2 linked regions of the Schizosaccharomyces pombe genome follow. The protein of the gene in region 1 purifies or fractionates together with the protein of each later gene. This does not show direct contact. Each region holds a gene or a part of one and is shown in the gene's direction. Other genes may lie near its edges.

Region 1 (3,932 bases):
TTACAAGTTTTAGAAAAGATACACATTCTCCATATTCAGTAGCGAGATCAAGTAAAGAAATAGTTTTCCTTAAAACAACGGGTAAAATATCATCAATTACTACCCCTTGAACGTCATTTGAACTGCAATATTCACCACGAACGTCTCTGAACATTTCAGATAATGTTGGAAGAAACTCAACATTTTCAAGTAACATCACCATCTCTAGCATTTTTACCAAATCGAAAATCTGATGAAACGAAGCTAATTGAAATATTATTTTTTCTGATACCAGAGTGAACATTTCATCTGCTAATTTTGTCACTGAAGATTTCGTTAAAGGCAAAGGCATTTCATATACCAGTCTGTAGAAACATCTAAGAATTTCACAGAAAGCGTCTGTGAAACATTTTTTTGCATTGAGCATACACGTTCGTATTGAAACTAAGCAATTAACGATGTCTTGGGTCAAAAAAGGGACATTATTGCTACAAGATACAAAATCTTTAGTATCACCGCATAAAAACGAACATTTGAAGCTGTCATCGCCGGAATCATTTACCAAATACTGCACTAATTCGTCAAGCCAAGTCTTCTGAAAAGCACATTCACACTCTAAAACCAGCTTTTTAAAATTCAAATGAGTAGAGCCCATATACATATTATGCAGCTTTTGAAACGTAGAAGCTACACTCAAGCATTGAGAAATATTACCTTGAAGTACTAGCAGACTAGATAAAGTTTCTTTCCAATCTGCTAAATGCGCTTCTAATTGCGCCAAGGATACGAATTTTCCGGAACCTACAAAATAAGGATCGCTGGATATAATCATCCGCTCTAAATTAGCTAGACTTTCATCATAAAGAAATAATTTTTTCGAAAGCAGAAGTCTAAGAGCTTTAAGAAGAAACTGGTTTTGCTGAATCAAATCTTCATCAAAAATTTCAATATATCGTTCTATCCTTTTCCTTTTACTTGCCAAAGATACTATGTCATTAATTAATTCTCGTTCACCAGGGTGTAATGGTTGAACAGATGGATGCAGTAGTATTTGACCATTTTTCTCAATAAACAGGCCAGAAGTATTCCCTGCGAGCAACAAAATAATCTCATGCAACATATAATGTATTTATTGTTACAGAGTTTGCATGAAAATATTCAACATATAGCCAATTTAAGTAAACTACTCCAAAGGAGGCTTTCGTAGTAAATGAGATAAATAGCTAAAACTTATTCGTGTTACTTTGAAGGTAACGACTAGGGAATGTCTTGCGTTGTTACAATGAACAATAATCAATGTAGCATTGCATATAATTCAATTAATATATATATATATATATATATATATATATTATTTTGTAATAACCTAGTAGGTACTGTTTATCTTAAACAAACAAAGTCTCAGACGAGCGAAGGTTTAACGACATTAATTTTGGGCAACAGGTAAACACAACACTTTAAAATTGATTAGAAGGGGGAGGTGGTCCACATGGCATGATCATTTTTTCTAATAGGTTTTTGCGAACTTGGACTCTCGGTTCGCCGAGCGCCGTTGCCATATATGCGAGCAACGGTGGATGCCCCACTACAGAAGACAAAGTATCCCGGTGCTGATTTACCATCCATTCACTAGTTTATATGGTGAGCGAAAATTCATTTGTCAAATAAACCGATTAGTACTTACTATTTGGTGGTAAACGCATTACCGACACCAACATAACGCGCTTGTAACTGTTCTAGTTTTGCTTGAGAGCGCAACCTGTCTGCCTACAATCGTTAATAAATGAAAGAAGCATAGAATAGAGATAATTCAAGAATTTTTTTCTTACCATAGTATATATTGGAATATGTGGTATAATGTTCAGACTGGGTTTTTTTAACACATATTGTTAATTGAAACGAATAAGGTATAATACTGTAATTTGCAATTCTAAATTGCGATTTCTAGCGCACCAAAGCAACCACAGAAATAAACGTTTCAAAATAAACATTGCTATCCTTTGACCAAAAACCTGTAGTTGCAGTTTTTTGATAATAGGGAGCACTACACTTGAAGATGTCTTCTCTTGCATCTCAGGGTAATAATGCTTCAACTCCTGCATATCGTTATGGGTTTCAAACTTCAGAAGTTGGGGACAGGCCAACTGTAAGTATGCCTTCACAACCTGAGTCGAGTGCTATGCTCGAGGATGATGGAATGGTGAAAAGGAAACCTTTTGCTGCTATAGGAGAAGCCATACCAAAGGTAATTGATACAACCGGAGAATCAGTACGTGAAGCCTTTGAAGAGTTTTTATTGTCATTTTCTGATGACCGCGTTGCTGGAGGTGATGCTCTCCCTTCTGCATCACAAGAGAAATATTATGTTCAACAGATTCATGGATTGGCAATGTATGAGATTCATACCGTTTACGTTGATTATAAGCATTTAACCTCGTACAATGATGTGTTAGCTCTTGCGATAGTTGAGCAATATTATCGATTTTCTCCTTTCTTACTTCGAGCTTTACAAAAGTTGATTGAAAAGTTTGAACCAGAATATTATAGAAGTTCTCTTTCTCGTGAAAATGCTTCACTTTCACCGAACTTTAAAGCCAGTGACAAAACATTTGCTCTTGCATTTTACAATTTACCCTTTCGATCCACAATTCGGGACTTACGAACAGATCGTATCGGTAGACTCACGACTATTACAGGTACAGTTACTCGTACTTCTGAAGTACGCCCTGAATTAGCACAAGGTACTTTTATCTGTGAGGAATGCCACACTGTAGTTTCAAATGTTGAGCAAGCATTTCGCTATACTGAACCAACTCAATGCCCTAATGAACTTTGTGCTAATAAAAGAAGTTGGCGGCTCAATATTTCACAGTCTTCTTTTCAGGACTGGCAAAAGGTGCGCATTCAAGAAAATAGCAACGAGATTCCTACGGGTTCTATGCCACGAACTTTGGACGTAATTTTGCGCGGAGATATTGTTGAAAGGGCTAAGGCTGGTGACAAATGCGCATTTACGGGAATTCTTATTGCCGTTCCAGATGTCTCACAGCTAGGAATTCCTGGTGTAAAGCCAGAAGCTTATCGAGATTCTCGCAATTTTGGTGGTAGAGATGCAGATGGTGTGACAGGACTGAAGTCTTTAGGTGTACGTGATCTTACATATAAACTATCTTTTTTAGCTTGCATGGTTCAACCAGATGATGCAAATGATAAAAGCGGTGCGGATGTCAGAGGGGATGGTTCTCAAGGGATCGAAGAGCAAGATGAATTTTTGCAATCGCTTTCTCAAGAAGAAATTGATGATTTACGTGCGATGGTGCATTCAGATCATATTTATTCTCGTTTGACAAACTCACTGGCTCCCTCTGTTTATGGTCATGAAATAATTAAGAAGGGGATTCTTTTACAGTTAATGGGTGGTGTTCACAAGTTAACTCCTGAAGGTATAAATCTTCGTGGCGACCTGAACATTTGTATTGTCGGCGACCCCAGTACTTCGAAATCACAATTTCTTAAATACGTTTGCAATTTTCTTCCTCGTGCAATCTACACTTCTGGAAAGGCATCATCTGCGGCCGGTCTCACAGCTGCAGTTGTTAAGGACGAAGAAACTGGGGATTTTACTATAGAAGCAGGCGCTTTAATGTTGGCTGACAATGGAATATGTGCTATAGATGAATTCGATAAAATGGATCTGTCAGACCAAGTTGCTATTCATGAAGCAATGGAACAACAAACGATATCTATAGCAAAAGCTGGAATTCAAGCTACATTAAACGCACGGACATCTATCCTTGCTGCTGCAAATCCAATAGGTGGCCGCTATAACCGAAAAACAACTTTGCGGAATAACATCAATATGTCTGCTCCTATCATGTCACGGTTTGATTTATTCTTCGTTGTACTAGATGAGTGCAATGAATCAGTTGATAGACATTTAGCTAAGCATATTG
Region 2 (3,932 bases), on another chromosome or scaffold:
GTTGCTTGGAGCATAAGTAGAAACACTTATTGGCAAAACTATATAAGAAAAATATCTAAGCCGAGCTGCGAAATAATTCCGTTTCATGACTGGAATTTTTTTCTTGTAAACGAGCAATTCTTCGAGGGCAACGTGCTTGTGTTTATTTGCCCATGCTGTCATTGAGGACTCCTGGGTTTCAAGGTAAGCTAAATAAAGGGAAGCGAAGCAAGACAAAATATTATATGGTACTAGTACTAGCGATAGTACAACTGCTTGAGAAAAATACAAATAAAATGAACGAATATTACCGAACTATAACTAAACTAAATTCAAATGATGTAGAAATACGAAATTTTGTTATTACTGAATATTTTCTTTATTTTGTTTATATTTTATTTTATTTTGTTTTGTTTTGTTTTGTTTCCTTTTAATTTTCCTTCCTTTTTATTGGAAAAAAAAAAAGAAAACAAAACAAAATAAATATCTTGGAATGCATAATTGTACATCGTTACTAACAATATTCGCTAGGTGAAAGTGTTCAATTCTCTCCACTTGTCGAAAACAAGATCGCTGTTGCAGCTGTCACCCATTATGGATTAGGCGGAAGCGGACGTCTTTATATTCATGATGTTACGCCAAAAGGAATTCAAGTTTGCCAACAGTAAGTAATTGTGCGATTACTGCTCTTCATTATTAGACTTTTGCACAAAACACTTTTAACCATTAGTTATTATGATGAAAACAGTCTCTAAATCCTACGAAATGAAATTTATCTAACGTTAAATACTAGCTATGATGTCGAGGATTCTTTGTTTGGTGTGCGCTGGTCTCAGAATTGTGAAAATCAAGTCTACGCTTGCTGTGGTGATGGTTCTTTGAGACTATTTGATTTGACTATGCCCTCTAAGCCCATCCATAAATGGAAAGAGCATAAAGCGGAGATTGTCGCAATAGACACAAATACGGTTGATCGAAGAATTGTAGTTACGGGCTCCTGGGATGGGACTATCAAATTATGGTTAGGCAATTTGCCTAACAGTGTGCAGACGCTCAACAATGGTTCGAATTCAAGGATTCTTACAGTTGCTACACATTATAGCTCTCCAAATTTACTCGGGTATACATCAAGTGATGGATTATGCAAATTTTGGGATTTCCGGTCTTCCGATAAATTTATGTCCATTGAAATACCGAATCAAATTACTTGCATGAATTGGAGCAAGTCTAATCATCGTATGGTTTACACGGCCGACAATAACAATCTGGTTTACTGTTACGATATCGCGAATTTAAAGACGCCTCTGTCCGTATTGTCTGGTCACCAACTTGCTGTTCGAAGTATAAAATCGTCCAATTCCGCCCATGATCTTTTGGCTACAGCAAGTTACGATATGACTTCTCGAATTTTTGACCCGGAACAGCACTCTTGCATAAGAAAAGTTGATTTGCATTCTGAATTTGTCCGTGATGTTGATTGGAGTGATTTCGGCGATGGATCTTGGATTGCAAGTGTTGGTTGGGACGAATCTTTGTATATATGGAACGCATTTTAAGTTGCTGCTGTTTTTAATTTAAGATTTTATTACACTGATTCAAAGACGAAATGTTCGAACGCTCGGAATAAATTCGTTGTGCACATGTTCACCTTGGATTATATCACCAGAAAACAGCGATTACAAATTATTTTTACGATAGTTTAGGTAGCTCAAGTGAAAAATTTAGTAACTAGAGTAATTATAATATGATTTTTGGCATTTGGCATAAAATGAGAAAGGGTTGTTTGCAATGCCTACAAAAATTTCTTTTTTTTGTAACTACTATTGCGTAGCTTTGACTTGTATATTAATGCGCTATTGTTTAGGAAATATAAAGCGACTCAAAGTGCTTTACCTTCCTTTGTACTGACCACCTGGTAATTTCCTCCATGATCCACCACCAGTAACGTTTATTTATTAATGTTCATCAAGAGATCCGATTACGCCTCTGCTTACTTGAAAATTAAAGAAGCAAGTGTATCTGGTGGATGCACAGTTCAGCTCTTTGTTGCTTTAGACCCAGACGCGCTTTGTGCATGCAAGCTATTGTCCACACTTTTGAAAGGCGATTTTATTTCACATAAAATTAGGCCTGTATCGGGCTATCGAGACCTTGAACAAGCAAATAAAACTTTGCTAGAGCAAAATGAAGATATCAAATTCATTATACTTTTGAATTGTGGAACGATGGTGGATCTAAATAATTATCTTGTTTCTATGGAAGACGTATCTATCTATGTAATTGATTCTCATAGGCCGCATAATCTAAATAATATATACATTGAAAACAATATTTTTGTTTTCGACGATGGAGATATTGAAGAAGACATGAATAAAATTCATGATGCTTGGTATGCATTTAATTCGCATGAGCTATCAGATGAAGAAAATTCCGATTCCAGTAATGAGCGAGAGGAGGAAGTCGAAGATGACAACCGATCTGTGGAATCTTACAGCTCATCCGATTATCAAGCACGAAGTCGTAGGCGTTTTTCAGAGGAAACGACGCAACGTCGAGCTGAAATTAAGGAGAAAAGGAAAAAACGGAAAGAGTTCGCCTCTATCCTTTCTGAATATTATGAGAAAGGAAGTTGGTACGGCGAGTCAATTACCAATATCCTGTTTGCAGTAGCATCCATGCTTGGACGTGAGGATAATGACATGTTGTGGTTAGCGATTGTTGGGCTCACCTGCTTGGAAATTCACTGCCAATCCTCAAAAAAATACTTCAATAGGTCCTATTCTTTATTGAAAGATGAAGTCAATCGCTTGAACCCTTCACCACTTGAAAATCAAATAGTCGGTCGCGCACATGGTAAGACACCCCATGATCAGTCAATTCGGCTTGAAGATGAATTTCGTTTTATGCTAGTAAGACATTGGAGTCTTTATGATTCTATGCTTCATTCTGCTTACGTTGGTTCGAGACTTCACATTTGGAGCGAGGAAGGACGCAAACGACTACATAAGCTTCTTGCAAAAATGGGACTCAGTCTGGTGGAGTGTAAACAAACTTATATTCACATGAACATGGATTTAAAAAAAACTTTGAAAAGTAGTCTTAAAAGATTTGCACCGTTTTATGGTTTAGACGATGTGATATTCCATAGTTTTACTCGGACTTATGGATTCAAATGTACACTTAGTGCAAGTGACGTTTCTTATGCTATCAGTGCATTATTAGAAATGGGTAATACAGGTGTTTTGCTTCAAAGCAAAACTGTCGCTCGAAGCCCGGATATGACGGAGGAAGAATATTTGGAGAAGTTTGAAAATGCTCAAAATCAAGAATGGTTGCACAATTTTTATGATGCATACGACGCCTTGGACGATGTCGATTCATTAGAAAGAGCATTGAAGTTAGCAATGCACTTACAAAGAGCCATTGTTCGTACTGGAATCACCTTACTTGAAAAAAGAGCCATTAAAACGTTGAGATCTTTTCGTTTTGGACTTATCAACGAAGGACCAGATCTGAAAATATTTATGCATCCCCTTGCGTTAACAAAGATGAGTCTTTGGATTGCTGAAGCTATTAATGTAAGTGTCTATTGATTTTAACGTTTGACTAACACTTGAAGGAGCAAGAACGAGAATTTGGAAAGCTTAGACATCTTCCTCTTGTTTTAGCAGCTTTTGTAGAGGAAAAAAATAGGTACTTAATAGTTGGAACTTCTACTTCCGCTTTTACTAGCAATGAAGATGACGATGATGACGACGGTCATGGACACAATCGTTTTGGAGTTGCATTTCAAGAGGTTGCAAACATGACATCTGCTACTTTGCAAATGGACTGTTTTGAAGCAAGTGTGATTGAGTGTCAAAAAAGTGACCTCGGGGTTTTTTTAGAAAGTCTGTCCTTCAAAACACTATTATAAAGATTGGGTAAATAATGGGAATTTTGCTAATAAAGAA

The links.
Region 2: the proteins of mcm6 (region 1) and cdc45 purify together in Schizosaccharomyces pombe (affinity purification with western blotting; 3 studies listed by BioGRID). This does not show direct contact.

The regions. Positions count from the first base shown.
Region 1 is NC_003423.3:3,881,100-3,885,031, reverse strand, and holds the start of mcm6 (MCM complex subunit Mcm6), read left to right. Parts: upstream 1-1,974; 5' UTR 1,975-2,035; coding exon 2,036-3,932. Other genes in the region: gamma tubulin complex GCP4 subunit Gfh1, read right to left, coding at 1-1,099; sap10 (splicing factor 3B), read right to left, coding at 1,437-1,608, 1,664-1,746, 1,809-1,811. UniProt on the Schizosaccharomyces pombe protein: Acts as a component of the mcm2-7 complex (mcm complex) which is the putative replicative helicase essential for 'once per cell cycle' DNA replication initiation and elongation in eukaryotic cells.
Region 2 is NC_003424.3:4,722,866-4,726,797, forward strand, and holds the start of cdc45 (DNA replication pre-initiation complex subunit Cdc45), read left to right. Parts: upstream 1-1,906; 5' UTR 1,907-1,937; coding exon 1,938-3,557; intron 3,558-3,598; coding exon 3,599-3,895; 3' UTR 3,896-3,932. Other genes in the region: pex7 (peroxin-7), read left to right, coding at 153-183, 511-643, 773-1,535. UniProt on the Schizosaccharomyces pombe protein: Required for initiation of chromosomal DNA replication. May have a role in regulating the MCM proteins nda1 and nda4.